Arabidopsis thaliana: one gene and its partner. The protein of the gene in region 1 interacts with the protein of each later gene in a pairwise test. Each region holds a gene or a part of one and is shown on either strand. Other genes may lie near its edges.

Region 1 (4,076 bases):
AAGAAGAAGCGAGATTGAAGAGCTTTACCTGTATTCGAAAGTGTCATCGAAGTATTTCTCGGAGTATTGGATCTGACCCATTTCTCTCTCAGAGATGTGAAGCCTTAATCAGGAAATGGAGGAGAAGGGAAAGAGGAATTGAAGAATCTGTAATCTGATCGTTTGAAATTTGGGGAAGATAGTGAAAGGAGAATAAAGTGGTTTGGGGTAGATATGTAATTATGAGGAAATAGAGGGGTGTTTGATTAACTTTTTAGAGTTTTGAAATTCTTTAGAAGACGCCGATTGGGTATGAATGATTATAAACCGGTTAGTTACCAAAATGAATTGAAATTGGGTGGATTGGTTTGGTTCTAATTAAATTCAACAACTTGTTTGGTTGCTTTGACCAAAGACCTTGTTATTTACCATCAAACTACGAACTCGTTCATTTTCTCGAAATTTCATTTAATTCCAACAATCAGTGCTTCACACTAGGTATAAGATACATATCTAGTTAATTTATAAAAATGGCTCTGAATCTCCTGGTTTCAATACACTAATAGTAGTACAGTAAGGAATATATGGTGTTTGGTGAATGTGGTGATTGAGACACAATATGAGTTTCTTTGAATCAGTATCGCCATGAGAATCGTGATTAGACCTTCAGATTGGCATTGTAATGATACCTTGTTTGTTGTTCATAGTTATGGACTTAAGACTCTAAGAGGAGCAATAAAAAGAGGTTGAAATGATGAAACAAGCACATAAGCATGAGAAATAACGTCTTCATTCTTAACCATGAAGAAGTTCAAACGTGGATCCAACCAAAGTCTAGCAAAGGACCAGACTTAACATAACATTAAAAGTTGTTCTACCAAACTCACATGATTCTCCACTGAAGAGAATTCATGAACACAATAAAAAAAACTACAGGAACAAAACATCAGAGTAGTATTTTAAAACCTCGTTTACGAGAGACATAAACAGAGATTAGGGAGAATTTTGCATAATTCTTCTACTTAGCAATCTGAGCTTGGTGCTCCTGCTGGTAGTTAAGAGGCCTCCTAAAGAGCATGATATGTGGCTCAGGACGATGAATCGCGTAATGAACCCATCCACGACTTTGCTGCACTCCGATGGCTCTCCATTCACTCTACAAAACCAGATTGTAAAACAAGAAAACTGTTAACTTCAAAATCAGAAAACTGAGAATTGACTGATAACACAAAAAAATATCTAAACTATCTTCGTCACTGCTGACAATTACACAACCTAAAGTTAATAAACAAGTTAATGAGAAGCAAAACTTCAAATTCCTAAGCAGAAACTTCAATTTCTTCGACTCTCAAAAGTCCAAACTTCAATTTCCTAACTTAATTTCTTAAACATGTAAATCTCTTAGCCTACGATGATTCAAGGGTTATACAGCGAATAGAGGAAAGCCCTAATTTTTAACTTACTTCCGAAAGAATACGATTCTTAGGTAAAAGCTTAGCAACTTCCGGAGGAAGTACAACGTGCCTGAGAGAAAAATAAAAGACCACGCGATTAGACTGAAACTAAAACGTGAGAGAGAACTCCATTAAAATGGGAGGAGAATCAAACTGAGAATCACCTGTATTCGAAAGTATCATCGAAATATTTGTCGGAGTACTGGATCTGACCCATCTTCTTAAATCACCCAACAAACGTCTATTAAATTTACTAAACAAAAGAAATGGAGCAATCTGTCAGTAATCTAAACCCTAAACAACGACGAGAACCTAAACAAATCAGAAATCGAACCCTAATCTAAGAATCGGGAAGTAAAGCAGACCTTGAGAAGAAGTGCGATCGGAAACGAAATGAATTTTAGGGGAGAAGAGGGAAAGCGAAAGGGAATTAAAAAGGCATTGTGGTAAGGAAGTAATTATGGGGATTTATAGGGGCATTTTCTCAACGGGTGTTTTGATTTTTTTGAGTTTCAAATTTCTTAGAGGCGCTCCTTCCCGCTTAGTGGAGCCCTAAAATTTTGATTACGGTTCGACGTTAATCAAACCGGTATAATTCCCGGTTCAGAGATTCATTTCTAAAGGCATCAGTATCTTCCTCTTATAGTCAGAGTTCAGGTGTCCGTATACTCGCCGGCTTTGTATACCTCCTTTGTTCGATATATAAACATCAGTGACAAAAAGAAAAAGATTTCAGAAAATTGAATTTCATTTTTGGGCACTAATATACAAAAAAAAATTAGCTTCGGATAATCATGACTAAACCCCCAAAAGAATGCCCTAATGTTTTAGACTTCCCCATTTACTTCCCCCTCTTATCTCTACTTCGTCTCTACCAAAACCAAATTCTCTAACCCTTTTGTGTATCTTTCTCTCTAGTTTCCATTACAAAGAAAGACACGTTAGGGGAGAAACCTGTACAAGAACGTGGCTACTACCCGAAATTAGATTAAAAAAGAGCATCCAATCGTTTCACCAACTTTCCAAAAACCAAAAAACAAAGACAACCTTGAGCTTACTCCTCCTTACTGGCCTCAGTTTTACTCACGGCACTCGGTGCTGGTACACTCTTTCTCAACATAGATGTTCCATGAAAGATCATCACCGAGTAGTCTTTTCTGTATTCTTTCACCTAATAACACACAAACACAGTGTGTATCAGAGATGGGATTCATTGGGAGTGTATATAAGTTTATATGGATATAGATATATACCTCTTCGTCGGTCATCTTGGTGAAACCAAATTTGTCAGTCCATATGGATTTGGCTTCATCTGCTGCTGGTAGCACGATATGTTTCACGTTTAGGAACCCAAGTAGCCTCTCGATGCAAGCAAACAGGCATTGGAAGTAACCCTACAATAGGAAAAAAAAAACATAAATTCTCAAACTCTCAAAAAAGAGCAATCACAAGCATTTCATCCCCCAGGTACAATTTGACACAAAAAAATTCCTTCTGCAATTAAGATGCTACACATTGTTCTGCTCTTAAGCTATTCGACACAAAAACATGTCTGCTTAGATGTATCACTGTATAATTTATCAATGTATGGGATTGACAGTAAGAGTGAGTCGTTTATTAACCATTCTATAGGAGTAGGCACCTGTTGTAAAGAAAAAACATCCAAGGTTCCAGATAAAAACTGTTTACCTGCCCTTGACAATCTTTGCTGGTAGCAACCAGAGGGAGTTCTGCAAGTTCTGACCCAAAAACCCTAAAGATTCCCACTGAAACAATCACTTCGCTGCACAAGAAACAAAAAAAGGACAACATTAAAAAGATGAAACATGCGTCACAGAAAATAAATTAGAGTGAAAAAGAAGAAGAATCTTACTCCACAGCCAACATAGTGCAGTACATGCCACTAAAATCTTGGGCCTTTGTTTGCCTTCTGTTCCACACACAAAAGTTGTTGATCAGCACAAAGAATAATCCACTCGACTGATTGAAGATACAAAATTGCTTACCCATACACCATGGCTGGTATCAAATCTCCCTTGGTCCCAGATTCACTGATAGGATCAAACCGTTCCTATAGCATACAATTGTTAGAAGGGACAAACAGCAGAAAGGACAGAAGAGTTTGAAATGTGGTCTTGACTTACATGAAGAATGGAAAGTGCCTTTGCAAGCAATATTTTGGTATCATCTGAAGAGGTCAACTTCCCACTAAGGACCCTCCATCTTATGTCAGGAGTGGTTTTATAATCTGGACAGTTTTCTTCATTAGGTTGTTCCTTCTTCCTTAAAAAATTCAGAATATTGTTACTTAGCTTCTCTTCTCCGCGAACTATCAGATTGCCCAATGTAGTGTTGATCTCTTCGCACCCGAGGGAACAGAACCATTTTTCTTCAGGTAGCTCCTGTTAAGACATAACAAGAATGAGAAAGATAGATACTGAGTTTTCACCCGAGGGAATGAAAGAGCTAAATAGGCAAAGAACCTTGAGATCAGCAATGTCACGTTCTTTCAAACAGCCAACATGGAATTCCTTTTCACACTGAGGAGAAAACAACAAAACCAAAAATGGTGAAGACCAGAAGCAGATTTAAGAGGCAAGGAACCCTATACAGCAATGAACAACAAAGTACCTGATCACAGAT
Region 2 (4,283 bases), 1.9 Mb from region 1:
AGAATTGTTTTTGTTTATTTGAGTCCCTCATTTAACCTGTTTGTGATCTGAATTAAGCTTACATATACAAAATGGTCCATGATCATTTGTTTTGAAGATTTTCTGAAATGGTCCATGAAAGAGTTTTGTTTCCAAGTCTTCGGATAATTTGTCTAGTTACAAAATGGTCCTGCATCATTTGGAATAATGTATTTATGGCATTATCTCAAAATTCTCTAACCATTGGGCCAGTACAGTATGCCCTTTACAGATCTAAAGTTTTATTATATGCTAGTATTATTATAATTAAAATTTTGAAAAGTTTCAAACCAAGTTTCGTGTGATAGAATGTTTGTGATTTGTTATTAATCAATAAACTTTAAGAATAACAGAATCATCTTGAAATTCTGATTGGTCGAGCTCAATCATATTCGGTGCTGAATATGAAACAAAAAAATTAGTTGGTGTGGTTAGCTGACATGGTTGGTACGATTTTGTTCAACAAAAAACTGCACTGAAATTGTCGATTAGTTAATTTAAGTAGTAGAACAATAATAACTAATTTCATAGTACTTTTTAATCCATATCAAACGTTGTAAGAAATAAAATTCTAAAATAATTTTAAGCGTTTAGGGCGGTAAGATAATCTACCAAAATGCATTTGATGTTTTTGGTTGAATATTATTAAAACGGAGAAGACAAAAAAATGAGTGTGGTTGTACCTGTGTGGGGATAGAATTTTATCAGTCACCAAAAACATAAAAATGTACTAAAGAATATGCTAAAAGATACACAAGATTCGAAGAAGAGGTAAAAGTAGAGCTAAAAGACACGACTTTTCTGGGCTCTAAAATCTGTTAAAAAGCTTTCTTCTTTTTCTGTGCAATTTCGTACTTCTAAAAACATTCCTCCTACAAATCTTATATTTCCAAATCAACAAAATAAAATTAACTTATTCCCTGAAATATTAAAATCTAAAAAGTTAAAAAAAAAACCATAAACTTCTTCTTCTTCTTCACTCTAACTTTACCCATTCGTAACGTCCTTCTAATGGCTTCTCCTTCTCGAAATCGAAATTGTACCTAATTAAAAAAAAATAAACTCACTCTTAATTTTACCTCAAAATCAATTTTAAATTATGAATAAAAAATATATTATCTATAAAAATCAAACTCACAAAATAAAATAAAAACTTACTTCTTCTTGAATTTTTCTTTGAGTTGTTTCTCAGCTTCCACAAAAAAATCTTCAATTTCCGATTCCGTTGGCATCTCCGTCATCAATTTCGCCTTCTCCTCCTCCTCCGCCGTCACCGTCTCCTCCATCGTTTTCCTCCCGCTACAACAACAATCTAACGATTCTTTAACCGCCGATTCAAATTCCGATGAATAATTCTCCATGGATTTACTTAATTCTTCTTTCTCCTCCTCTCTCAGATTTTCAAAAAGCTTCCTCTTCGTACCCCTAAAATAACTCACAAGCAAGATTCTAAATTTATTGAAGAGAGAGTCAAATAAATAACCGGGAAAATAATAAAACCTTCAAAATTCAAATCATTTTCAGTTTTTTTTTTAACACTCACCGTCGATACGTCGACGTTTCAGTGTCACCATCTTTATCTTCCTCCTACAAAAATTTCAAAATTTCAAAAAAAAATACATTAACATTAAATGATACATATACAGTTACAAGAATCTAGAATCAACAACATTAAATAACCTCCAGATGTATTAATTCTTTCTTCTTATATTCATTGCTTCCACTACAAGACGACGAAACTCCATTATCACCGACGACGGAGACAGAGCTTGATTTTTCCGATCTAACATAAACAATTCTCCGGCTCCGTAGCTGCATATACGTTGACGAAACTCCAGCTTCTACAATTCCTTTAGCTTTTCTATATTTTCTCACCATCTTCGATTTAGGTTACGTGTGCGTGAAGTCACAATCTCTGTGAGAGAGAGAGATATGATTGAGAGGATGAGGAAGAAGAAGAAAGAAAGATGATGAATTTGGTTTTGAACGGTCAGGATTGAGTTTTGTGCTGTGTGTGATAGAGAAATGGCGTGTTTTAGTGGTCCCGTTACAGTGACGGGGAATCTTTAACGGGGAAACTGGAGGCGCCGTTATTTGGATGTTATGGAGTTACTTATGCCGATGGTTTGTTTTATTGACACGTGTCGGTTATAAACGGTGACTTAACGGAACGGGAGGCGTAATAATTGTGGTGTAACTAACTATTTTAAAAACCCTCTCATCTATTGGTAATTCACAGATTTGCCATTACGCGAAACCGTTTAAAATGTTTTAAATTATAATTGACAAGCTTTTTGTATAGTTGGGATGAATTTTATAGTTTAGGTAAAATTAGAAAGTTCATATTACTTTAAAATGAATTGGATAGAGACTATATATAGATTATGTGTATAGTATAGGTGGATTGTTACGGATAGCCTAAAAACTACGTACCTGTGAGTAAAATAAGGTAAAAGTAAAACTGACACTAGAAATTATATTTTTGTTATCCCTGCGTATTTGCTTAGCCTGATGTCAAGTTGTCAACAGCACGTGTCGATCGTGATATATTGGGCTTAATAAGTCATAATATAGTAAAGGTTTCTAAGAACTAAACTTGGCCTCCATCACTTCCCATGGGCCTTGTCAGCCTTTCTATGTTTTGTTTTTGTCTCAAAGCATGAACAAAATGGAGTGGCGAGTGCATTCAAATTACCATGTCTTGCTTTAAAAATTAAAAATATTTTTTTTTTCACTGAAAGATAAATATATACTTCATAATTTCCAACCAAACATACAAAAAAATGTGGATCAAGGACAATCATTCTAGATCAACCAGTATTACACTAGGCATTTTTTTCTTCCTCAAAAAGTTGTTTTAACCAAAAAGAAAACCTAGTTGCTACATACGATTAACGGCGATCATTTTTTGTTACGCTCTTGGCAATAAAGTGAGCATCAAGATTAGATCTCCTTAACTCACCAAGCAATTTTCAATCCAAAAAATTCCCTAGTTTCTCAATCAAAAGAAGGGACTGAAATTTACATGAAGGTCATGCAGACGACTTTTGTTTTAATTGAATAACATAAAACTTTTACTCACTTTACAAAAAAGTATGAATCTATAACCCTAGATTTATAAAGATATTAGAAAACTTTTTATAAATCTTAAATTAATAACAAAGAACTTTAATAAACTTTTTAAAAATCTTGATTGAATAACAAACGATTTTACATAATCGTTAAAGTTCTTTTAAAATCATAAACCAATAATACCCCCTAAATATTTAATTTATCTCCTCAAGTGTTGCGCCCATGTTATGTAAAATTTCATCCCTATAAATACATCAGATGGTCCAAGAGGTTTCATGCATCAATACATAATACATTTTCGCCTTCGACTAAATATTATAATTTAGCTTCTTTTTTTTTCTAATTCTCGTCTCGGTTTTTCTAGTAATGGCGACGATTAATGTTTACGTTTTTGCATTTATCTTTCTTTTGACTATTAGTGTTGGTTCAATTGAAGGCCGAAAACTCACCAAATTCACCGTAACGACGTCTGAGGAAATCAGAGCTGGTGGCTCTGTATTGTCGTCGTCACCTCCGACTGAGCCACTTGAGTCGCCGCCGAGCCACGGGGTTGATACCTTCAGACCTACGGAACCTGGTCATAGCCCCGGTATTGGACATTCCGTACATAATTAACGGAGAGGAACAATAGCATCGTCTATGTGATTACATGTTGAAAATATGATTGGCCTGGTGACTTTTTTTTTCTGAATATGTATTTACGTACAGTTTCGTCATATTCAGTTTCTTGCAAGTGTGATTGTAATAATATTTATTTGATTAAATTAAGATTGATGTAATCCATCTTATTTTAAAAGCACATACATTTTTTTATCAGGTTCCAATTTTCTCATATATTTTTCTATCGAGATGTGTCACTCGCTTGAACTAAGAAATTTTTCTATCGAGATATGTCATTCGCTTGAACTGAATCATACGTAACTCGATCTAATCACAAACCGATTTAGGAATAGAACTATAGAAGCAATTTCGATTACTTGTTTATGTCTTCAAAATCTGTACGTAGAACGAATAACTATCTTTGAAATAATTTGGTACAGATATTCCATATCTGCGTTTCAAAATTTGAGCCAGACATTATTTTGCATGGAGAAAAACCTAAAAGTTTGTATTACGTAATATTAGTCACTGAAAAACTTTAGTTTGTTTGTTAAAAGTTTTAGACGGATGTTAGTATTTGAGAAATAAGCAAT

The links.
Region 2: the proteins of CKS2 (region 1) and ICK1 interact in a protein complementation assay, tested with the Arabidopsis thaliana proteins (one study listed by BioGRID).

What each region holds. Positions count from the first base shown.
Region 1 is NC_003071.7:11,911,463-11,915,538, forward strand, and holds CKS2 (CDK-subunit 2), read right to left. Parts: upstream 1,964-4,076; 5' UTR 1,799-1,963; intron 1,687-1,798; 5' UTR 1,651-1,686; coding exon 1,598-1,650; intron 1,504-1,597; coding exon 1,443-1,503; intron 1,136-1,442; coding exon 998-1,135; 3' UTR 689-997; downstream 1-688. Other genes in the region: CKS1 (cyclin-dependent kinase-subunit 1), read right to left, coding at 29-81; AT2G27980 (Acyl-CoA N-acyltransferase with RING/FYVE/PHD-type zinc finger domain-containing protein), read right to left, coding at 2,488-2,604, 2,687-2,827, 3,123-3,216, 3,307-3,363, 3,440-3,504, 3,578-3,835, 3,917-3,973, 4,065-4,076. UniProt on the Arabidopsis thaliana protein: Binds to the catalytic subunit of the cyclin dependent kinases and is essential for their biological function.
Region 2 is NC_003071.7:9,976,026-9,980,308, forward strand, and holds ICK1 (Cyclin-dependent kinase inhibitor family protein), read right to left. Parts: upstream 2,066-4,283; 5' UTR 1,897-2,065; coding exon 1,699-1,896; intron 1,606-1,698; coding exon 1,562-1,605; intron 1,444-1,561; coding exon 1,177-1,443; intron 1,062-1,176; coding exon 995-1,061; 3' UTR 565-994; downstream 1-564. Other genes in the region: AT2G23440 (uncharacterized protein), read left to right, coding at 3,457-3,705. UniProt on the Arabidopsis thaliana protein: Binds and inhibits CYCD2-1/CDKA-1 kinase complex activity. Regulates cell division which is crucial for plant growth, development and morphogenesis. Functions in turning cells from a mitotic to an endoreplicating cell cycle mode.